Linked DNA regions of Caenorhabditis elegans. The protein of the gene in region 3 purifies or fractionates together with the protein of the main gene of each other region. This does not show direct contact. Each region holds a gene or a part of one and is shown on either strand. Other genes may lie near its edges.

Region 1 (10,139 bases), on a different chromosome or scaffold from region 3:
GCGATTCTGTGACCTACAGTAATCCTTTGAGTGGAGGAAATGCATTTTGTAATAAAGTCATTTGAAATGTTTATTTGATGTCGTGCATATCGTTTCTGTGGTTATATGAAGTGGAAACATACGTTTTCATTGTTGTCGGCCGTTTTTAAAAGTGAAAAAATATTTATTTACAATATTGCAGAGAATTCGAATTGCAGCAAATTGTCAATTATCCCTGAGATCCTCAATAACAAAAAATAAATAATAATTTTAACAAAAATAGTGAAATTCTTAGTTAATTAAGCCCACTTGACGAGGAAGTTTCTTTTTGCTTTTTTTTTTCGATCGTCAATCAGGTCCTCATCATCTCCTAACTTTGATTTTTTAATCTCAGTTGGTTCAACATCAACATCATCAGAAGTGACTGCCTCAGAAGTTCCAGATTTTGTGTCATCAGATTTTGATAGTTTTTCCAAATCTTCCAGCTCCAAATCTTCCAATGGATCCTTCTTGTTGATCTTTGCTTCTCCACTCTTTCCATTCTCCTCATCGCTGTCTTCATATGAATCCTCGTCTTCATCATCGTTATAACCCCCGCATCCGGTGCCACTTCCACCTCCACATCCTCCACTGTTTCCATAACCAGCATAGCTACCGTAACCCTGTGGATATCCGCCACCACACCCACCTCCTCCACAGCCGGAACCGATTCCTGGATGAGTACGGTAGATACTGTAGTGGTCGGTGTATGGCAGATGTGGATAACGGTAGGTTGCGAATGTGTACTGTGGTGGATATACATATGTCATTCCTGGACGAAGAAGATATCTTCTTGGAAGCCTATCCCATGGGTAATGCTGGAAGAAATACCCTCTTCTATAGGCGACAACTGGCCTCTTTGTGGTAGTTTGAACGGGATTCTGATTGCGTCCAATCGGATTTGGGTTCAAAAGTGGTGCACGAGTTGGAATATCGAATTTCGGTGCGATTGTTGAGTAGGTTACTTGTTTCAAATTATGGTTGGCACCAGCATTCTTGACCGGTTGAGATGAAAAATCAGAATAATCGTCACCAACATTATCCTGTCTTGCCTAAAAATTATCCATATTCGTAGGTACGAATTGTCCAAAGTAACTCACCTTTCTTTCAGCCAACGTGACCCCACAAATCGCCGCTAGAAAAATAATAGATCTCCTCATCTAGAAGTGTGTAAGATTGTTAAAATCGGTCAATCTCCATCGTCGTTAAATACTCCCAAAATCGGGTTGACTAGAAGTGTAACAAAACCTTCAAATAGCTGGACATCATCTGCCTCAAACAGATCTGGTTCTTGGCATATCGGGTAAAATTATATAAGTTTGTTGCGTAGTGATATACAACAAGGTGAGAAAGTGATGAAGACGACGGACGTCCATGGTTGCGCAATAAGTGAAATTAGAACTGGAAATTTTCGGAGATAAGGAATGTTTTTTTTTGTATATTGCGAATTAGGATATATCATGTTTTGCCTGGGTTAATCAGTAGTATCACTATGAAAATATATGATCTATTGTGTACCTTCTATTAAGAAGATGTTTAAATTTTTTGGTATTAAAATTTTGGTTAAAAAACAATTAAAAATTGGGAGAATTTCAGAAGATTTATGGAAACATATTTAGTTAAATATGGCTATTTTACTAAAATCTAGATTTCGGAACATTCTGCTTTGAGAAATTTAGATGAATTAATACAAATCGAGTCAAGTTCGTCCAGCGAAGAACCTATCTCAAGTCACTATTAAAGTCTGTCAGCCGGTATTTATAGCAAGGAGAAAGTGATGTTGAGTGTAATCCCACTTGTTGTAATCTGACCAATGTGTGTGTCCAACTTGATAAATTGGCCTTCATTGGATATGGAAAAGGAATAATTTTATGAACTAAGTATATTTTGCAAAATTCCATTCAAAAGTAGAAACCGTACTTGATTCGTTAAGAGCAAAACGGAGCATTTACGAATTTAATTCCAAGTAATATGGTGCAGTGTGACCTATTCCTGAAATCAGTCGAATATGAAATATTGCAAAAATTCCTTTTCAATATGTTTCATGTTGTAGCAGTTGTAGAATTTTTATATACCAAAAAATTTAAAGATAATTAAATTTATTATAAACTATTTTAATGTACCTTTAGCCTGTTATAGATTACTAATAATTGTAGAAAAAATCCAATTTCTGTTGTTGCTCCGAAAAAATCACTAATTGTATTTCTATAAATTGGTAAATTATTGTTCGAGAACTCGAAAAGTACATTTTTCTTCATTTTTTATAATATTGTATTATTTTATCGCCTTCTCCGAGTGATTGAAACCCCTATGAAAAGTTGGGAAAGTTGACGTGGCCGCGGTCGATGCCATTGCAAAACTAGGCCATGATAATGCAGGATTTTTAGAACGGTAGAAAATGGGCCTATTTTAAGTTGTTCCCTTTAAAATTTGAACTTTTTTATCGACAATTAAATCTCAATATCGATTTTTTTCCACAAACTTGTTTGCTTTCTAATCACTTATTGATTTTTTTCAAATAGAAACCAAGTAAATTTCATCATTTTGTGTTTTCTGATGTAATCTATTGCTTAAAAGAATTTTTTAAAGGTTTTAATTATTTTTAAATATCAGGGTAACAAATATCGACAATGTCGAAAATCAATAAGGAGCGGAAGAAGGTTGCTCAACTTCAAGAAATTGAAAAGAGCATTCAGGAGCTGTGGGAGAGCAAGAAGGCTTTCGAGGCGGATGCTAGGGATGAGTGAGTTTTTTCTGAAAATTTTGAATTATTTTCAATTTAAAAAATTTCAGTGGAAAACCAAAGTACCTCGTCACGTTTCCCTTCCCATACATGAATGGACGTCTTCATTTGGGACACACATTCTCAGCTTCAAAATGTGAATTTGCCGCCGGTTTCCAACGTCTTCAAGGCAAAGAAGTGCTCTTTCCATTCGGATTTCATTGTACTGGAATGCCAATTAAAGCATGTGCAGATAAATTGAAAAGAGAAATGCAAGATTTCGGATATCCACCAAATTTCCCGGAAGATGTTGTCGAGGAAGTTAAAGAAGAAGTTTCGGCTGTCGATGAGATTATCAAGGATAAGAGTAAAGGAAAGAAGAGTAAATTGGTGGCAAAAACTGGAAATGCAAAATACCAATGGCAAATTATGAAGTCTCTGGGATTGTGTGATGAGGAAATTAAGGAATTCTCGGATCCAAATCATTGGCTATATTATTTCCCACCACATTGCATTGCTGATCTTAAGAAAATGGGACTAAAGGTAAGATTTAAAGTGTTGAAATCATCTTAAAGTGTTGAAAGTGAGTTCTGTAAAAATAGTACTAAATTATTATGTTTTTCCAATATTTTTGATTAAAATTTAGTGATAGAATTTGGAAAAAAAACATTTGATTTATCTGAAAATAGTTTTTATTTTAGTGATTAAAAGTTGAAAATAACCTGTAAAAAAATTTCGATAATTGGTCGGTTTTTACCGGCGATTTTTTTGGCACTTTTCCAATTTTTCAACCTTAATCAAAGCTATTTTCAGATAAATGAAATATTTTTCTATATTATATCCCTGAATTGTATTTAATGAATATTGGAACAAAATGCCTTACTTCCTCATTTTTGCTTCTCCATTTTAATAATAATATAATTCTCAAAAAAATTTAACTTATCACAAAATTAAAAAAGAAACATTTCGAAATTATTAAATTAAAAATTGCCATTTTTCAGGCTGATTGGCGTCGTTCCTTCATCACCACCGACGTGAATCCATACTTCGACTCATTCGTCCGTTGGCAGTTCAACCTTCTTCGTGCAGCTAAGAAGATCGATTTCGGAAAGAGATATACAATTTATTCACCGAAAGACGGTCAACCATGCATGGATCACGATCGTGCCAGTGGAGAAGGTGTTGGTCCACAAGAATATACTCTTATTAAACTGAAAGTTCTTGATCCAAAACCTCAAGCTTTGAGCCATATCAAAGAGGATATTTATCTCGTTGCGGCTACTTTGAGACCTGAAACAATGTACGGACAAACGAATTGTTATCTCCATCCAGATATTCAATATTCCGTGTTTTATGCGACGGAAAACGAGAAACAAGTATTTGTGGCAACTGCCAGATCTGCTAGAATCATGTCATATCAAGGATTGACTAAGGAAAATGGTAAAGTCAACTATGTCCTGGGACTCGAGAAAATCGCTGGAAGCAAGATTCTCGGAGCTCCACTCTCTGCGCCTCTCGCAAAATACGAAAGAGTTTATGCATTGCCAATGTTGACTATCAAGGATGATAAGGGAACTGGTGTTGTTACAAGTGTACCATCAGACTCTCCAGATGATTTTGCAGCTTTGTCGGATCTCAAGAAGAAGAAGCCATTGAGAGAAAAATATGGATTGACTGATGAGATGGTTCTTCCATTCGAACCAGTTCCAATTATTAAAATCGAAGGACTTGGGGATTTGGCTGCAGTTGAAATGTGCTCAAGGCTGAAAATTGAGTCTCAAAATGAGAAGGACAAACTGGAAGAGGCGAAGAAAGAAGTTTATTTGAAAGGATTCTACGATGGAGTTATGCTCGTCGGAAAGTATGCTGGAAAGAAGACAGCCGACGTCAAGAAAGTTATTCAAGATGATTTGACAGCTGAAGGTCTTGCCACGAAATATGTGGAGCCTGAGAAGAAGGTGATGAGCAGATCTGGAGATGAGTGCGTCGTTGCGTTGTGTGATCAATGGTATTTGAATTATGGAGAGGCTGAATGGAAGGCTGCTGCAAAGAAGGTTCTTGAGCCACTCAGAACTTTCAATGATGAGGTATATTTTTTTAAATTATTTTTGAAAAAATATTATGTAGACGTCTAAAAATAAGAATCTTCGCCATCTCTTACGCGCAGAGGTCTTGCCACGCAGACAACGAGTTACTGTAACTTGCCGATCAAAGGGTTTTTTATTGCAGCATATTCTCTAAATAAAACCACAATTTTATCTAAAAATCGAAAAAATTTGTTCAAAGAATATCATAGTTTACAAATTACTCCAACTCTACGGACGATTTTTTTAAAACCCTTTTTGTTGAAATTGGAGTTTAATTTAAAGAATATGACGCAATAACGGCCCATTAGACAACAGAAGTTACAGTAATTCGTTGCCTGCGTCCTCTGCGCGTAAGATATGTCGAAAATTCTCATTTTTAGATGTCTATGTAGTATATTCTTATTCCGCTGAATTAAAATTTTCAGACCCGCCGTGGATTGGAAACCACAGTCGATTGGCTCCACGAGTATGCTTGCTCCAGAAGTTACGGTCTTGGAACCAAACTTCCATGGGATACTCAATACCTCATCGAATCTCTGTCAGACTCTACAATCTACAATGCTTATTATACAGTTGCTCATCTTCTCCAACAGGGAGCTTTTGATGGATCAGTCGTCGGACCTGCTGGAATTAAAGCTGATCAGATGACAGATGCTTCGTGGAGTTATGTATTCCTCGGAGAAATTTACGATTCGAAAACCATGCCGGTTGAGGAGGAAAAGCTTAAATCATTGAGGAAAGAATTCATGTATTGGTATCCAATTGATATGAGAGCATCTGGAAAAGATCTTATCGGAAATCATTTGACATATCTTCTGTTCAATCATGCTGCAATCTGGCCAACAGACACTTCAAAATGGCCAAAAGGAATTCGGGCCAATGGACATTTGCTCTTGAACAATGAGAAAATGTCGAAATCCACTGGAAACTTTATGACATTGGAAGAAGCCATCGAAAAGTTCAGCGCAGATGGTATGAGATTGAGTCTTGCCGATGCTGGGGATGGTTTGGAAGATGCTAACTTTGTGTACGCAATGGCAGATGCAGCTATTCTGAGACTATTCACTATGATCGAATGGATCAAGGAAATGATTGAACAACGGGATGCCGGACTTCTCCGAAAAGATGCAAAGAAATTCGCTGATCGAGTTTTTGCAAATGAAATGAATTCACTGATCGCTGCCACAGAACAAAATTATGAAGCTACCAACTTCAAGGATGCACTGAAAACTGGATTCTTCGAATATCAAGCCATTAGAGATACATACAGAGAACTTTGCGCTGGAATTGATGAGCCAATGAGCGAATCGCTTGTCTTTAGATTCATTGAAACTCAGGTATATTTTCAGAAAGATTTTTTTCTCAAGATGACAGATACCGATTATTAGTGTAAAAATTGAAAGAATTGTTTCAAATTCTGCAACAAAAATTCTAGAAAAACGAGAAAAAAAACAAATCAGTATTGCCGTATATTAAAAAAGTTTAGGAAATTTCTATAAATTTCTTAAAATCTATTTTCGTTCGATTAAGACTGATTTCTGTCATTTGGGGCAAAAAAAAAACGCCAGACGACACCTTTAAAAGTTTAATTTGTTTTTTATTTTAGATGCTCATCCTATCACCAATCTGCCCACATATTGCTGAATACATCTGGCAATTGCTCGGAAAAGACGGCTTGATTGTAAATGCTCCATGGCCAACTGTCGATCCTGTCGATGAGAAGCTCGCCATTGGTGCTCGTTTCATCACGGAATCGCTGGCCGAATTCCGTGCCCGACTGAAAACCTACATGACTCCAAAGAAGAAGGCACTGAAGGAGATTCCAGAAGTTCCAACTGAAGCAGTGATCTATGTTGCTAAAGAATATCCACCATGGCAGAAGACTATTCTTGATATTCTTGAGAAACAAGCCAAGGCTAATAATGGAGCACTTCCAGATAATAAAGCAATCAGTCAGCTCATTGGAAAAGAAGAATCACTCAAGAAATTCGCCAAAAAAGCGATGCCATTCGTTCAAATGATCAAGGAAAGATTCGAACAGAAGGGTGTTTCAGCATTGGCTTCTTCTAGTCCAGTTGATCAAACTTCAATTCTCAACGAGAATATTGATTTTATTATGAACGCTTTGGATTTGGATCGTGTTACTATTCGACATACTGATGAGGAGGGAATTGATGCGAATATTGTTGAGACTACAGTACCGCTGGTGCCAATGTTGAATTTCACGCCGAATAGAGTAAGGAAACATATTATAGGGGCATGGGAACATGCTCCGCCTTCTAACCATGGGTCTCGTTAGGTATTTGGCGGCAAAACCGTAAATTCAAACATTTTAAATTCGTCTCTGCAGTTTTCAAGCACGCCAAATACCTTACGAGACCCAACTGTAGGAGGCGGGGCGTTGTCAATCGGCAGTGGAGCGCATTTCCATATCAATTTCAAGAGGGGAATTTTTCTGCGTACCAATAATAATGACATCATAATTATTTTCAGCCAACAATCAAACTTGTCGCCAGAAATGTTCAAATCTGCAATGCAATGTTCGATGTTGATGTACCAATTGTTAATGGAGACAGTGTTTCAATGGTTATTCGGAAGATGAGACGCATCAGCAAGGCAATCAAACGTATGAGAAAACCCTATTCCGAAAACAATAAATTCAATTTATTATATTTTCAGCGAAATTCGAAGTGAGCCTCTGGAGATACAAGAACGCGGTTTGGGGAGATCGACAGATGATTTCGTACAGAAATCCATTCGAGGAGAACATTCAATTGTCCGACGCAGACATTTTCAATTTCGAGGCTGATAACAAGATTTCTGTGACTTCTGGAAGTGAAAAGTTCGATCTTGGGCGTACTATTGTGTACAAGGCTAACGTCCCAGAAAACTAGATTCTTTCTAAAAAATTATTTGTTCTTCTTGTTTCTAATAATATTATATCCCCACTTTTTGAGTTTTGTTGTTTCTATTCATTTTCATAATTTATACGTACCCGAATCCCTATTTCAGCTTTCACTGTTTTCTCCCTGTTTCCAAGTTGAATGAAAAGGTTTTTTTGTTATTATACTAGATTTTTGAAAACTGTGATTTGTTATCTAAGTATTTCAAACCTAATATTTTAAATGTGATTTTCTATTTTTTATCGGAAGTTTCCGTATTTCCAGTAACAGATGCCGTCACCATGTGAAAGCGGTAAAACGACAAATTGCTCCGGAGCACCTTCCTCGTCTTGTGGTGAATATTTTGATTATTACTCATTCGGGAAAATATGGGATTTTTATCGCAAAATTATGGTATCGGGTCTCGACACGATCGAATTACTTCCAAATGAAAAGTGGGTAACACATTGTTTTCTCGAGATTTTAAAGTCTACTAATTATTATTCATGTGACATCAAAATCTGGAAGGAGTGAGGCTACAGTACCTCATTTGAAAATATTTCGATCGTGTACAAACAAAAACAAAAATAAATTACTATACTTTTGCGTTAAAAAACTAAATTTTTCGAAGAAAATATCTGGAATAAAATATAACGAACAAAAATCTTTTCAGCGAAATCAGTAGAATGCTGCAAGAAGCAACTATCCGTTGGAGTACTACAACAAGTATCAGCGAGTTCATCTGGTGCAATTGTTACATCACTTTTTAGTAAGCTTCATATCAGTTGCAGATTTTTTCAATTTTGGACAGAAAAGTACGGTACCGGGTCTCGAAAGGATTGGAACTTTGCAGCTACCGTACCCAGAAGTATTTCCCAATTATAATTTTTTCACAATTTGAAAAGCATTGAAAAAACACAACAAAAAAATTATTGGGGATACGGTATCTGCGAAATATCGGTCGTTTCGAGACACGCAACCGTATATACGCCTGAAAAATCGAAAACAGAAAAGTTTATCTTTGCAGTGACTCCCTTAGACGTCGTGAAAATTCGACTCCAACAACAAACTCGACCATTTCCAAAAGGAGAATGTTTTTACTATCACAATGGTCTTATGGAGCACGTTTGTGTATCGTGTGAAGTCAGAAAACCTTGTGAATGGTATCAACGACCCGGTAATTTTCGTGGAACTGCAGATGCAATTGTGAAAATTGCACGACATGAAGGAATACGGTCATTATGGAGTGGATTGTCCCCTACTATGGTTATGGCTCTACCGGCGACTGTTTTCTATTTTACAACTTATGATAATCTATCAGTTTGGTTGAAGAAAAAGTTAGAATTTTTTTGTTGTTGAAATTCCAAAAATAATAAAAATGGTTTTCAGAATGTGTTGCCGACGGGCATTTTCTCCGGAAAAATGGACGCCTCCTGATTGGTCAGCTGCAGCAGTGGCTGGAATTGTAGCAAGAACCATTGCGGTTACGGTAGTCAGTCCCATTGAGATGATTCGTACGAAAATGCAAAGCAAGAGGCTTACTTATCATGGTGGGTTGGACTAGGAGTAAGTATCAGGGCTGGGGGAACAAAAATTGAAATTTTCGAAAAATCAAAAAAAAAAAACAATTTTTCGAAGAACAAAAACACCAACAAAAAAAACTAAAATCAATTGAAATTTTCTAAAAATCTTTTGAAAAAATTGAAATTTTCGAAAAATCAAAAAAAAAAAACAATTTTTCGAAGAACAAAAAAACCAAGAAAAAAAAACTAAAATCAATTGAAATTTTCTAAAAATCTTTTGAAAAAATTGAAATTTTCGACAAACCAAAAAACCAACAAAAAAAACAAAATATAGAAATTTTCAAAAAACCAAAATAAAACACAAAAAAAGTTTAAATTGTAAATCAAAAAATCCGAAAATTAAATTTATTATATTTTAAAAAAAACACACATATTCTGAAAAAAAGAGAAAAATTCCCACTTAATTAGGAAATTTTTCGAAAAATCAAAAATACCAAAACGACAGTTTTCGAATTTCCGGAAATTAAAAAATCTAAAAAAAAATGTTCAGAAAATTATATTTCTTCAAAAAAAAACCAACATTTTTTTAGCTATTTTTCGAAATATCGGAAAAAGAAAAATGTTCGATTTTTCAGAAATCGGTCACCTGGTGCGTAGTTCAATGGCAACCAAAGGAATCTCCAGTTTCTACCTCGGTTGGACGCCCACAATGCTCCGTGATATTCCATTTTCTGGAATCTACTGGGCTGGATATGATTTATTCAAAACAAATCTTCAACGACGTCAAGGACCTGATCACAATCCGTTTGTAGTGTCATTCGTGAGCGGAGCAGCTGCAGGAGTTGTCGCCTCGATATTCACACATCCATTTGATGTTATAAAGACGAATTGTCAGATTAGAATTGGT
Region 2 (8,348 bases), 5.4 Mb from region 3:
AGCTTGATTGGACTGGGAAAAAGCTTCAAAGAACGATTGAAAATTGTAGGGAGCCTATTGAAAAAAAGTTTTGTTACGTTTTCATAAGCATTTACACACAAAACCTGCCGAAGATCATAAGAACAATTTAGCTGATTGTCTGGGTCTCTGTGTAGGTTTTTCTGTATAATGGTGTTTTCTGATAAAATACACATTGATTTACCGGTTTACAAAACAGCGCAAGGTTAAAAAAAATTTTACCTTTAAAATTTTTTGGCAAGGAAGGTGTAAAAATTATTTTAAAAGATTCGAGTAAAAATTGAAATTTCAATGTTTCAAAAAAGATTGTCGGGAAGTTTAAATTAAAATCTTTAATTTAAAAAAAAATTTCGATAGTTTTGGAATTTTCAATTTCCAAAAAAAAATCGAAAAATTATGGCGAGTCATAAAAAAAATTAAAATTTCCGGAAAAATCGTTAAATTTTAAATTCTAAAAGGTATAAATTTTACAACAAAAAAATCGATGAAAATTAATTTTTCTAACCATTTTGACAGCACTTTCACATTAAAAAAAAATTGGCGGGAATTTCAAGTTTTAGGTTGTTCCAAATTTTTTGGCGGTGAATTAATATTCTATTTTTCGATTAACTTAATTTCACAACAAAAAAAAATTGGAGAAAGTTATATCTTTAACTTTTCTACAAAATTCAGCGCTAAATTTAAAATTTTGATTTTTAAAAAATAAAGTTTCCGGAAATTAAAATATTCCTAACTAGCCTAAAGCCTAAAGCCTAAAGCCTAAAGCCTAAAACCTAAAGTTTAAGACAGGGCTAAAGTTTCATGTAAAAAATGGGTTGAAAATTAACATCTTTAATCTAGATTTCTTGTTGTAAAAAGTGTTCATTATATTTTCTGGCACCGCAAATTCCAAATAATTTTTGACCTTCCACTTCTCTTGTCAAACAACTTCAACCACATGTGTTCTGACTCCTTATCACCAAGATCATTGATTAGTGCACATATACATCTCACATCATAGATACTTTTCTTTTTTGGATCAAAGAAGCTTCAGCCCCGCCACTTCACAGATCATATGGTTACAACAAAGAGATAAAGAGATAAGTCAGGAGTCCGCAGAGAAACTAAGAACCAAACACGCGATATTCGGGTTGTCCACCGTCGGCTGTTTTTGTTGCAGTGGTGAATTGGGGATGTGTGTAAGAAAAAAATTATTTGGAAAAAGACCAACATCGTGGCGCGGTGAAGGTGCTTTGGTGTCTTCTTTTTGAATAGTGCAATTATTTGAAAAATAAGACCAAAGTATTGTTTTCAAACAGGTTATGCAATAGTTTATAGTTAAAAGAAAACCTGAATTTGACAGATATTTCAAAACTGGCGGGGATAGCCGGTCTTAGTGGCCGCTAGCAACGAGTTCAAGCCCTGACACCCTCTAGGATCACCCAGTCTTAAATGGAGCAATCTGAATTCTCCGTGGCTCGAACCTAAATCCCAGAGAGAGCTCCACCAGGAATGTTGTACAGAAATTCAGCGATGCATAAGACTTGAAGAACGGGTTTTATTTGACTTGAATTTAAAATAAAATATAGGTTTTCAGTTAAGTTTTGTAGCCTTTTTGGGAAATTCTGAACATATTTTAAAACTTTAAAACTCCCCGCTACTCCAAAAAAATATCCTATCAATGTTGTTTTCTTACGAAAAATAACTGATTCCAGTGGGATTTTGTTTGTTTGCCCTTTCATTATATGTAATTGTTTACTCAACTTTTTCCTGATTATTTAGTATTATTTAACATAAATAGTCTGGCAATATGAAGAAGTAAGCTTTACAAATTTGAAAAACCAAAATTTACCATTTTGTAAAATTTTTCAAGTCACGGTTACAGCCAAATAATTAAGTGAAAAATTACAAAAAAATTATTATGTACATTAAAACTGCAAATTGGGTGCAATTCTAGACTAATAAAAAATATATAAATGCCCTAAAAATTTCATATCTTAATTTTTTCTGGTTGATTTATTTTGACTTTCATTTTTTGTAATTTAAAATAGACTTACAATTTTGTAATTCTGATAGAAAAACCAAGTTTTTTCTAAAATATTAACAGTTAGCACCCAGCATTTCAAATTTCAAAAAAACTGCATTATTGACAAACATCTCCCATATACCTAAACATTTTCAAAAAGCGTACTTCATCAACGATCAACCATCATATCAAGCTGCCAAAAAGACACACAAAAAAAGCGTAAACAAAATAATTGACTGTTCTCTCTGCACCTCTGCGTCTCTTTCTATCTATTCATCAATTGTCTCTCTCTCCTAATGATATCACACACTGCCTCGACTCCGCCCCCTATAGTTTCGGACCCTTATCGCTCTGCGTCTCGTCGGGCAGAGTATAAAAGCCGGGTCCCGGGAGGTGTGCCGACTTTAGTTCCCTCACAAGAACTAAGCTTATTATACAAAGACACACACAATGAGTTCTGCGGCTAAAAATTTTTATCAGGTATGTTGGTTTATTTTTTTATAATTTGAAATTTAATATATGAAATTTTTAAAATTTAAATTATTTCAGGTAGTCAAATCGGCTCCAAAAGGCCGCTTCAAGGGCATCAAACGTGACTATACCGTCGAAGATGTGCTCAAACTCCGAGGCTCCATCGACATTGACTACACCCTTGCCACACGTGGAGCCAACAAACTCTGGCAACTATTGCACACTGAGCCATTTGTGCCGGCTCTCGGAGCCCAGACTGGAAACCAAGCAGTTCAGATGGTCAGAGCCGGATTGAAGGCTATCTACTTGTCCGGATGGCAGGTGGCTGCCGACGCAAACTCCGCTGGAGACATGTACCCCGATCAGTCTTTATATCCAGCAAACTCTGGCCCGGAATTGGCGAAGAGAATCAACAGATCTTTAAGAAGAGCAGACCAGATTGAAGCCTGTGAAGCCGAGGACTACCTCGCCCAACGTGATTGGTACGCGCCAATCGTTGCCGATGCAGAAGCCGGATTCGGTGGAGCCCTGAATTGCTTCGAGTTGATGAAGGTAGGCATGCAACACTAACAGTTGCTCTTCACTGACCACTGGACACTTTTGGGGGTGAGAGAGATAAGAGTGGCAGTTGGCATTGCCGGTGTGTAGCTTTGTTGTGTAAAAGTGTATAGTTTCAAATGATTTCAACGCGGGCGTCTAAAGGAAACGGGACGGGGAGTGTGTAGGGAACAAAGAATGTCCAGTGGTCCTGGTCCTTTGACCTATTCAGTTTTCCAAAATCGGTACATACGAAGTTCCATGTGTTCCTTTCTTCTCTTTTTATCACCCCCATTTCATCGCAGCGCTCACTTCTCGGTCAACAAACATCTTTCTTCTCTATTTTTCTCCACCCAACAATGATTAGAATGATTAGATAACGCTATCAAAAACAACAAAAATGATCGTTGGTTGTTTTAGGCCTATATCGAAGCCGGTGCGGCAGGAGTTCACTACGAAGATCAGCTTGGATCGGAGAAAAAATGTGGTCATATGGGAGGAAAAGTCTTGATCCCAACCGCCCAACACATTCGTCACTTGAATGCGTCTCGTTTGGCTGCTGATGTCTGCGGAGTTCCTACAATCATTGTCGCAAGAACCGACGCAGAGTCCTCTAGACTTTTGACATCTGACATTGATCCAAGAGATCATCCATACATTGACTACGAGGCTGGAAGAACGATTGAAGGATTCTACAGACTCAAGGATTCCACTGCAATTCAGTATTGTATCGATCGTGCCATCCAATATGCTCCATACACCGATCTCATCTGGATGGAGACCTCTCACCCAACGATCGCCGACGCCCGTGAATTCGCTGAAGGTGTCCACAAGCAGTACCCAGACAAGATGTTCGCCTACAACTGCTCTCCATCCTTCAACTGGAAGAAGCATCTGTCCCCATCGCAGATGGAGAAGTTCCAGAAGGAGTTGGGAGCTATGGGATTCAAATATCAGTTTATCACGCTTGCCGGATACCATGCCAACAGTTATAGCATGTTTGACTTGGCCAGAAACTACAAGGAGAAGGGTATGCTCGCCTATTCCGGGCTCCAGGAAGGAGAGTTTGCTGCTGAGAAGCATGGATATACGGCAGTAAAGCATCAGAGAGAAGTGGGAACCGGATACTTCGACGCTGTCAGTCGTGCGGTTACCGGAGGACTCTCTTCGACTACTGCCTTGTCAGGATCCACTGAAGAAGCTCAATTCCAGACTGCTGTTGCTTCGCAGGATGAGGAAATCCTTTCGGTACGTTTTATTCAGACCTGCATATTAAGGCAAGAATTAGAAGAAAAAATAACTAAACAAAATTTCAGCTCACCGCCCAAAACGTTGCTGGAGACGAGAAGATCCTCACACCAGATGCTCTTCGCTTCCTCCACGACCTCAACACCGAATTCAACCCTCGCCGTTTGAGACTTCTCTCCAAGCGCAACCAAGTTCAGGCTGATATCAACAACTCCCTCTGGTTCCCAGATTTCAACAAGGAGACCGAGGTGCTCCGTAGTGATCAAGGATGGAAGGGAGCCGAGATTCCAAGGGATTTGCAAGATCGTAGAGTTGAGATCACTGGACCAACCGATCGTAAGATGGTTATTAATGCTATGAACTCTGGAGCCAATGTATTTATGGCTGACTTCGAAGATTCCAACTCCCCAACATGGAGAAACCAGCTTGAAGGACAGATCAACTTATATGATGCTGTAAGAAATAACATCTCCTACACCCACCCAACTACTAAGAAGGAGTACACACTGAATGAGAAACACGCCGTTCTGAAGGTCCGTCCACGTGGATGGCACCTTCCAGAGAAGCATGTCCTCATCCACAACCAGCCAACTTCAGGATCTCTCTTTGATTTCGGACTCTTCGTTTTCCACAATGCCAAGGCCCTCATCGCCCAGGGCTCCGGTCCATATTTCTATCTTCCAAAGCTTCAAAGCGCCGAGGAGGCTCAACTCTGGGCTGACGTTTTCAAGTACACCGAGGACAAGCTAGGCCTCGCCCGTGGAACCATCAAGTGTACCGTGCTCATTGAGCATTTGCTCGCCAGCTTCCAACTCCACGAGATCATCCATGCCCTCAAGGACAACATTGTCGGACTCAACTGCGGACGTTGGGATTACATCTTCTCCTACATCAAGACGTTCCAGAACCATCGCAAGTTCCTTCTCCCAGACCGATTCCAAATTGGAATGACCGCTCCATTCATGAGAAACTACTCCTTGGAAGTCATCAAGGCCTGCCATCTCCGTGGTATCCATGCCATGGGAGGTATGGCTGCCCAGATTCCAATCAAGCACGACCAGGTCGCCAATGACAAGGCATTTGCCCTAGTCAGAGCTGACAAGGAACGAGAGGCCACTGACGGACACGATGGAACATGGGTTGCTCATCCAGGATTGGTGCCATTGGCTAAGAGAGTTTTCGATCAAATGATGCCAAAGCCAAACCAGATCAGCAAGAATCTCACCCGCGCCAATTGCACCAAGGAAGACCTCACTGTGATCCCAGAGGGAACCCGCACTGAAGCTGGATTCCGCCATAATATCTCTGTAACTCTTGGTGAGCCTTAAAAAATATTTTTGAACATTTTTGAAATTGGAATTAATTTCAGGATACCTCGACTCTTGGCTCAGAGGAACCGGATGCGTGCCACTCTACAACTTGATGGAGGACGCTGCCACCGCCGAAATCTCGCGTGCTCAGCTCTGGCAATGGCTCCATCATGATGCTAAGCTTGAGGACGGTCGCACTATTGACGCCGGACTTGTCAAGCAAACGATTGCCGCCGAGACCGAGCGTCGTCTCATCCGAGCCGGATCAGTTGTCAACCGAATCCCAGAGGCTGCCGACTTGCTCGAGAAGTTTGTCACCGAGGAGAAGATGAGCGACTTCTTGACCACCGACGCTTACGACAGGCTTGTCTCTGAAGGATATTAGGAAATTTTTTTAAATTTGAATTACTTATTTGTATACTTCTCTCCATGATTTTCGTTGCACCTACTGGTTTTCTTGTACATTCTGCCGTTAATTATAAATCTCTTCAGTAAAATTTTGTCATGTCCGTGTTGTGTTCAAAAAGTCCACGAATTCCAGACTTTCCCACGATTTGAGACTTTACCTCATATCCGTGTCACTTCATTTTTTCACACAAAAAAAGCACGTAGTGAATCACTTGAAAAAAAAATCTTGAATTTTCTCTGGTTCTCTGGTCTATGCGTAAGTCTCAAAAGTTTGAGATAAAAAGGTGACATCTATGAAGCGTGAAAATTGAAGCTGCAGAGTCATAAAGTACGAAGCGATGTTTTGTTACATAAGCTACATATGTTTTCTATCTAAAACTTATGTTTCATTATTCAACAATCAAATTGTTTCAACTGTTTGTGTTCGTGTTCCGCTGCAAACACATATAGCAAACTGTAAATTGCAATATAGATGCTCTACAGGTGGCCTGCTGCCTCCACACACCTATCGACTCAAATTAGTACATCTGCGCAACGACTCGCCATTCAAATAGTCGATAATCTTACGTCAGTTGTCCATTCCCTCTCATTTCTTATTTAGCACAAATGAATATTCTCCGACTACCCACAAAAGCACTTCGCTGCACACTTCAACACTGGCCGCTTCTAGAAATGTAAGTTATTTAACTAAAAACAAAACCAAATGTGAACAATTTCAGATTAACATTTTCGTTGTTTTCAAAAAAGACGAAAAATCTTTCTAAATCTCTGCATCGAAGCGCCTTATCGATTTCTGTGAATGTTGAAGAGTTGATTGAACTCAAAATTCAAATCGCTCGGCGTGATACAATCAACTTCATCTTTTACACAAGCAGATATAGAGCCAATCCCTACTATGACCCCAATGCGGGAGTTGTGTTAATTGATAATCCAGATGAATATATAGGAATCGTGGATACAACTAAAAACAGTCGGATTTGGATGCACTTTCCGAATATGGGAATACGAGATTTTGTTGATCACTTTTTCGATGTCTTGAGTCTTTCAAAACTTGATGAATTTTCCATATCTAAGGACAACTACTGCACTCAAGAGTTTTGTGATGAGTTCAAGGAACTCGACGTTCAAACTTTTGTGAGCCCCTTACAAATGGACAACTCTTCGTTCTACCAGAAGATCATAAGAATGTTTTCGAGTAGAAGTAAAAGGCTTGACTTCGGTCTTCCCACATTCCCATTTAAAACTCATACAGCTCAAGAGTTCATGTTTCAAAATTTCAATTTCTTCCAAATCTTGTACAAATGCAGTCTTGTAGAGGTTCTCTCCATAAACAGTACTCTAATATATGGTGAAGACCTTATTGGCGTGAATCAGTTGAACGTATTCTTGAGGCATTGGATCAACGGATCCAACCCAAGACTCGAGTACTTTCAATTTTATGTGTATTTACAGACAAGTTTGGAGGACTTGTTCTCGATAATCTTTAACAAGGTGAATTATCAAAGACAGCCAGATAGCCTTTTGAGGGCGTTTTGCCTATCAGTTCAAGGATATGATGATTTGATATACAACCTAAAAAAGATCAAAGGAGGAATGGATATCGAGAGAACAGATGGAGCAAGAGCAACTGTAAAGATCAACGGTGTAGGGCACAATCACTTTGTTCAATTCTTCAAATGGGATAACAACTAAAGTTTAACAACATTCATGTAATTCTGCATTTTTCGTGTACTTTATTTAATGCATTTTCTGAGATTTTTGTTTAATAAGCTACTTGTTTAATAAACTACTGCATTTACGCATTTTTTCTAATTGTTAATTACAATTCAAACAAAAGTAACAACTTCATAATTTTCACTTTTGCTGGGCCAATTTCGAAAGTGAGTAAAAACGACAAATAAAAAAAATACAAAGTCATATGATTTCAAGGTGCACGGAATATTTCTCAACAGTTCAGCAAATCTGAATTATAGAATCTGGAATTGCAATCTTTCGAATACCACGTCGTATTCAATCACACCTTTCCATGTTCCATGCTTTCCATGTTCCAGTTGATTAATTACAAAATAAATATTTAGTTTCACATCCAAATTATTCATTTCTCATTCATCTAAAAACAGTTCACTTTGGATGTGGCCTCGAAGAAGTCATTGGAGGCTGGGACACAGGAGGTTGGGACACGGGTGGAGTCATCGGCGAGTTTACTGTATGCGATATCGCAGTGTGGGCAGGCGGAGACGGTCTTTCAAGGTTCGTAGCGATTCCAGATGGAAGCTTCGGAGTCCCTTTATCTTATTGAGACCACTTTCCGCTGAGTACCGTGCGCTTTCCGCTCGACAGATGCTTGACGC
Region 3 (6,796 bases):
GAAATTTACTTAAATCTAAAATACAATAACGGAACCTCGATGTATCCTAGTATCTAATTTACATTTCTGGCTAACGTACCTTTTGTGCTCGTCGAGGAGTAGCAGAGAGTATCGATCACACTAATGAAATTAGTGGAGAAATTCAGAAATAAATTAAAATCATGCAAAAGAGTTTAAATCAATATAATACGTCTTGATGCCATTATGATAACCTTTGGTCACGTAAATACTTTCCCGGTACTTGTGTATTATATATAACCCCACATTTTGAAATTCAGTTATAAAAATATCATTTTCTAGTCCTAATAGTAAGTATCCAAATAAATGTCACGTTTGAAAGCTATGAAATTAGGTTTTACAAAAGTTGAGCTATTTAAAAAAATCATTTCCATTTCGACCATTTCGACGACAAAACCATTTCGGAATCGAGAATTGTTAGGGAAATTTGCAAGCAATATTTTCTAGAAACAAGTGAAATTCGAGAAAATAATAAAAAGATATCCTGAAGTAGATATTATCGAAAAAATACGATCGCACAAATTTCTCAAAATTTATTTTTGATCTACCTGTTGAACTTGACTCCGCCCCCAATCTTGTTGCCGTTGCTATTTTGTTGCGGCTGTCTTGCCGGAGGAAGAGAAGGAGCCTATTCAACAAGGTAAATCAAAAATAAATTATGAGAAAATTGTGCGATCGTATTTTTTCAATAATAATTCATGTGTTGCTATTGGAGAGTATGTACAGTGTTGGCCAAAAGTATATGCGGTTTTGATTTTTTGGTGATTTTTATTAGTTTTCAAATAAGTATAACTCACAATCTAGGAACTATAGAAAGAAACGCCCAAATAACAAAATTTTTTCTAACATTTCACGTGGTTTCAGGCTGTTCCATCGGGAATTGATCTACAAAAAATGGGGGAATTTTTTCCCCAAACGTCAACACGTTCTTAACCATGCGAAATCAGTTGAGAACTCTGCGTCTCAACTCCCACATATTTTGTAGATCTACGTAGATCAAACCGACATGGGACACTCTGACACCACGTGGCATTTGTTCTGCATGATAACACATGGTTCAAAATTTTAATACATTGAAATCAATAGATACAGCAGCCGACACCTTGTGAGTTCACTTTTGGCATTTTCTCGTGAAACTTATGTATCTCAAGAATGAGGATATTTCATGAAAGTTTTACTACTGTAGCATAGGAATTTGTTTTTGAATATTGACAGCAATGTTCCATTTTCCTTCGTTATTTCGCATTATAGTCTCATTTTTTCCTTTAATATTTTATCGATAAATAAATAATTCTTCCTTGTTAGACCCCGATCCCGTAAATCGACACATGCACTACAGTAGTAATTTTTAAAAAATTATTGTAGTTTTCGCTGCGAGATATTTTCGCAATAGAACTGTAAGTTCCCGTAATTTGTAACTGCTTAAATAAAAATTATTGTAGAAAGATTAGTTTTTTTCAGAATTAAAGAAAACTACATTTGTCTTTTCACATATTTATCCAATTTCCTTCAAATTGAGAGTAATTTTTTTTTCAAATAACATTTTCGTGTGCATTAAAATTCTTCTTCTTCATAAACTGATCTTAAAGTTTTTCACAAGAAAACAAGCAAAAAGAGAGGAATTAAGTTAATAAATATTTAGAAAAGCAATAAAATAAATAACAGATCGTAAAAATTAAAATCCTTGATTAGTCGGAGTCATCTTCAGCAGTGAAGTCAAAAGGTTTGAAATCAGATTTCAGTTTATTGACCAGTTCGACTTCCTTCTCTTTCGCGAGTACACAAGCTTTCCAATCAACTTTGTCTTCACAATCCAGAATAGGTGTAGAAGCAAGAACTTCACGTCCGAAATGCAATGGGAATCCTTTCATACTTCTAGTGAAAAGCTTTGATCCATCAGGAAGCTCTGCGACAAAGTATGGACATCCTTCATTGACCATGTCGAGAAGCTGAAACGTTGTCTTTTATTCATTGTAAAATAATTAATCCGAACTTACACTTTCATCAGGACCCATTGTGACCAACTCGAAACCAGCACAAGCAGCAGCAGTTGTAAACGATGATTTCAATGCTTTCGAAGATGATTTATCGATCATAACCATTTGAACTTGCAAATGTTGTGTGCGGAAATTACGTTCAAACGTGACCAATGCTTTTCCTTGCTGAAATATACAGATTTTGAGGCTAAAAAAACGAATTTCTGTTTTAAATAATTACCTTATTCGCCATCAATGTGAACGCACTCTTGAACTTTTCAATCTCATCACGAACTTCAACTGGAGCAGAAACTTGTGATTGAATATGTCCAACAGATAGAACCATAACGTGATCTTCAGTGAGTGGTCCTTTCGGCATGGCTGCGTAGCATTTATTTCCAATGGCGACCACCAAATGCTTTTCGGCGTCTACATTCGATAAACAGAACCAACATGGTCCAACTGGTTGCTTGTTTCGTGGTCCATCGTTTCCTATAAAAACGTTTTTTTATGTTTGTTAACCTTTTCGAGTCAATACAATTAAAAACTCGAAAACTGTATTTTTGAAGAATGTGCATATTACGGAACACAAAATTGTGAGAATGCGTATTGTGCAACAGATTTGACGCGCAAAATAACTCATAGCGAAGACTACAGTAATTCTTTAACTGACTACTGTAGCGTTTCGGTCGATTTACGGGTTCGATAAGCGATCAGTTATTTTCCTTCGTTTCTTCGTATTATTTTCTCATTTTTTGCCTAATTTCAATATTGTATCGATAAATAGATTGTTTTAATTTATTTCAAAAATCGAGCCCGTTAAATGACTTACAGTAGTCATTTAAAGAATTACTGTAGTTTTCGCTACGAGATATTTGCGCGTCAAATATGTTGTGCAATACGCATTCTTACAAGTTTGTGTTCCCGTAATAGATGTCTGCATTTTTTTTTAAATATAATTATTTAAAAAATTTTTAAAACTTTTTGTTTCGGTACAATTGGCGATAAAAGCCTTTGAAATATTTTTTGGATTATTTTTTTCCAAAATTTCATTATATTCTTACAATGTATTTTAACTAGGCGAAGAATGTTTTATGATCTTCTATACTTCCTTTTTTCAGTTGTTTTCGTAACAAAAACAGGTACTTATCCTTTTCTATCCCTACGCACTAAATGTTTAACTTTTAATTCAAATGTGTTCATTTTAATACTACTTTCATTTTCAGGTTTAAAAAACAAAATTACTAGGCCGTAAAATACAGAAAAAGGTCGCATTTTAATCAAAGAACAACAAATTTTCATGTGGTGGAAAAGAGAGAGTACCCAAAAACACAACGATTACCAAGAGATAAGGTCAAACATGCATTGTAGTTAGAATGTGGCCAAGAGTATAAATACAACAATCATTTCGTCGACACAAAGAACCAAAATGTCTCTTCGTCGTTTCCCACATGCTGAAATCGTTTCCCCAGATGTTCTTGGAGAACATTTGAAATTTCGAAATGGTCGAGAAACTAATAATCGATTTTTGAAATCTGCCCTCACCGAGATTCAATCCAATTATTATCCAAATGAGCCAAAAAGGCACGGTCTTCCAACTGATACTATTCTTAATATTTATGATAAATGGGGAAATGGAAATTTCGGAATGATCTTAACTTCGAATGTTCTAGTGGACCCAGTAAGTTTTTTCAACAAAAAAATCCATTCATTTCAATACTGACCTTTTCAGACTAATTTGGAAGCTGCTGGAAATGCTATAATCTTCAAGGAAGGAGATTGTCATGAGCGTCGAGCTCTGTTCACTTACTGGGCTAAGCTAATGAAACAAGATGGTGCTCTTGCCGTAATTCAGCTATCTCATGCTGGAAGACAGACCCCAGAGTTCGTGAATCCTACTCCTTGGTCAGCTTCTGATGTTCAACTTGTATCGGCTACACGTATGACAACGTATGGAAAGCCGAAACCCTTGTCAATTGAGCAAATTAAAACAGAAGTGGTAGATCGATTCGTTTATGCTGCCAAATTTGCATATGAATGTGGATTCGATGGAATCGAAATACACGGAGCCAATGGATATTTGCTTTCTCAATTCACATCTCCAACAACTAACAAGAGAACTGACAAGTATGGAGGCTCGCTGGAAAACCGTCAGAGAATCGTTATCGAGGTTTATGATGCTATTCGAGCTGAAATTCCGGCATCAACTGGTTTTTTGGTGGGAATTAAAACAAACTCAGTGGAATTTCAATCAGAAGGACTTACTTTGGAAGATGCTAAAATTATGTGTCAAGTATATGAGGACAAAGGAGTTGACTTTGTGGAGCTAACTGGAGGAACATTTGAGAAGCTCAACTGGACCTGGGATCGAGAGTCGACTAAGAAGAGAGAGGCATTTTTTGCTGAATTTGCCGAACAGGTAATTATTTATTTATATACTAACAATATTTCAAAAAATCATGTAAGAAAAGGTTTTTGAAAACACGTAGTCAAAGTTTATACATTCGTACTTTCCAAATTTTAATCGAATTAGGATCCCTGCCAAGTCATCCATTTTCACAATCAATCAAATTAAATTGATTGTAACGGTTTCAGATTCGCCCAGTTTTCAATAAAACGGTGGTATATTTGACTGGAGGTTTCCGAACAGTTTCTGCTATGATCAACGCAATCTCCTGTAATGCAACTCAAGGAATTGGTCTCGGGCGCCCAATTACAGCGGAGCCAGATCTGCCAAAGAAGATTCTAGAAGGAAAAGCCATTTCAGCAGTTCAAGACTCATTCAATCCAAATGATATTGCAACAACAGTAATGGCAAGTGGCACACAAATGGATCAAATGGGGCGTACGAATATGGAAAAAGCAGGCGGAAAGTATGATCCAAAGTAGTTTTTGATACTTTGGAAAGTTAATCATTTTCAGTATAATGCATCTAATCACCGACTTCAGCGATGAGCACACCGTTCAAAGATTTTCTGAAGCATTGGGCTTACATGTGAAACAAGCAGCACTCGATATTAGTGAAGGAAAAATACCGAAAGCAATAATTGCATTCAACTAAATACTGTATTTGCACTTGGTATTACAGAAACGCAAAGTTCTGAGAATGCGTACTGGGTAACATATTTGACGCGCAAAATATCTCGTAGCGAAAACTAAAATAATTTAAAAAATAATTCGCTTTCGATTAGAAATTCATTTCGAAATTCGAGTATGTAAATCGACTACAGTAGTCAATAAAAGTATTACTGTAGTTTTCGTTACGAAATATTTTGCGCGTCAAATATGTTGCCCAATACGCATTCTCAGCATGTTGTGTTCCCGTAACATTTAACCTATTTTACATAATCTAGGTGTTTTAAACTTTTTATAAAACTTTCTCGTAATGCTATCTTTGCCTCTTAGAAAACTTATTCAGCGACGTGTATCATAACCAATTCTAATCGGCTTGTTAGAAAGAAGAAATATAATACTTCGGCGTCTCCACTTTGTGACTGGGCACAAAATGCAATTCAGATTCTACTTTCGAAATAGCCATAAAATCATAAGATCACAGATCTTTCTTCGTTTCTCAGGCAACCAGGTGCACAATTGTCATCACTCGACCAGTGAGACCACAATAGAACAGCAAACGTTGTCATCTTTTTGGTTAGACACTTTCTTTCTGCCTCTGCGTCTTTTCATAAGGTGTGCATACTCTTGTTTGCCCAACAACCTAGCCGATCAGAAAACGCACTATATTTGACCTGCGTGTACACTGCTATAAAAGTAACATTTTGTTCTTTCATTTCTTCGAAAAATGGCTGCCAGTCGCTTCTGTGATAATTTAACTGTCTCTTCTAAAATTCTTGGAGAGCAACTCAATTTCCGAAATGGGAAAACTGCTCAAAATCGGTTTTTGAAAGCTGCACTAACCGAACGAGTGTCCACTTATGATCCGGAAAATCCAAAGAAGCATGGTCTTCCTACAAACTTCATCTTGAACTTGTACGATAAATGGGGACACGGAAAGTTTGGTACTATTCTGACTGGAAATGTTCTTGTCGACCCGGTAAGTCACTGAAGAGTTTAGAAAAATAATACGTTCTATATAATTTTAGACTAATTTGGAATCTGCTGGAAATGCCATAATTTTCAAAGAAGGAGATGGAGAAGAACGTAGAGCTCTGTTCACTCAGTGGGCAAAAAACATGAAGCAGGACGGAGCTCTTGCCGTTGTTCAATTATCTCACGGAGGCCGTCAGACTCCAATTACAGTAGAACCGAATCCGTGGTCGGCTTCTGATGTGAAGTTGAGTGGTGAACGGCGTTTCACTGCATTCGGACAGCCTGTTCCATTGAGCACAGAGCAAATCAAGACTCAAATCATTGATAGATTCGTTTATGCTGCAAAGTTTGCCTACGAGACTGGATTTGATGGAGTTGAACTTCACGGAGCTCATGGTTATCTTTTGGCTCAATTCACGTCTCCAACTACCAATAAGAGAACTGATCAGTATGGTGGTTCAATTGAGAATCGTCAACGCATCATCCTTGAGATCTATGACGCTATTCGAGCTGAAATTCCCGAATCAACTGGATTTATGGTGGGAATTAAGACAAACTCGGTAGAGTTCCAAGAGCAGGGAACAACTGTTGACGATGCAAAAGTTATGTGCCAGGTTTATGAAGACAAAGGATTCGATTTCGTAGAACTTTCCGGTGGAACTTATGAGAAGCTCGCCTTCCATCATATGCGTGATTCGACTCGTAACCGTGAAGCTTTCTTTTTAGAATTCGCCGAAAAGGTATTTTTCCTGGTT

Evidence for each region. Proteins that work in one complex are often made in the same cells at the same time.
Region 1: the proteins of F17A9.5 (region 3) and lars-1 fractionate together in Caenorhabditis elegans (co-fractionation; one large-scale study listed by BioGRID). This does not show direct contact.
Region 2: the proteins of F17A9.5 (region 3) and icl-1 fractionate together in Caenorhabditis elegans (co-fractionation; one large-scale study listed by BioGRID). This does not show direct contact.

Annotation. Positions count from the first base shown.
Region 1 is NC_003281.10:4,179,294-4,189,432, reverse strand, and holds lars-1 (Leucine--tRNA ligase), read left to right. Parts: upstream 1-2,631; 5' UTR 2,632-2,648; coding exon 2,649-2,761; intron 2,762-2,811; coding exon 2,812-3,283; intron 3,284-3,741; coding exon 3,742-4,827; intron 4,828-5,252; coding exon 5,253-6,164; intron 6,165-6,433; coding exon 6,434-7,063; intron 7,064-7,320; coding exon 7,321-7,453; intron 7,454-7,506; coding exon 7,507-7,721; 3' UTR 7,722-7,884; downstream 7,885-10,139. Other genes in the region: ssp-28 (Saposin B-type domain-containing protein), read left to right, coding at 1-22; R74.2 (FIP (Fungus-Induced Protein) Related), read right to left, coding at 279-1,070, 1,119-1,178; putative mitochondrial carrier C16C10.1, read left to right, coding at 8,001-8,064, 8,383-8,478, 8,737-9,046, 9,099-9,259, 9,868-10,139.
Region 2 is NC_003283.11:722,083-730,430, reverse strand, and holds icl-1 (Malate synthase), read left to right. Parts: upstream 1-2,426; 5' UTR 2,427-2,473; coding exon 2,474-2,503; intron 2,504-2,572; coding exon 2,573-3,046; intron 3,047-3,451; coding exon 3,452-4,279; intron 4,280-4,347; coding exon 4,348-5,596; coding exon of another isoform or gene 5,597-5,607; exon of another isoform or gene 5,608-5,648; coding exon 5,649-5,974; 3' UTR 5,975-6,093; downstream 6,094-8,348. Other genes in the region: fbxb-72 (F-box domain-containing protein), read left to right, coding at 6,604-6,671, 6,717-7,689.
Region 3 is NC_003283.11:6,109,560-6,116,355, reverse strand, and holds F17A9.5 (NADH:flavin oxidoreductase/NADH oxidase N-terminal domain-containing protein), read left to right. Parts: upstream 1-3,358; 5' UTR 3,359-3,423; coding exon 3,424-3,675; intron 3,676-3,726; coding exon 3,727-4,413; intron 4,414-4,589; coding exon 4,590-4,867; intron 4,868-4,916; coding exon 4,917-5,055; 3' UTR 5,056-5,385; downstream 5,386-6,796. Other genes in the region: F17A9.4 (NADH:flavin oxidoreductase/NADH oxidase N-terminal domain-containing protein), read left to right, coding at 5,794-6,045, 6,095-6,781; cwf-19L1 (CWF19-like protein 1 homolog), read right to left, coding at 1,707-1,967, 2,016-2,180, 2,236-2,486.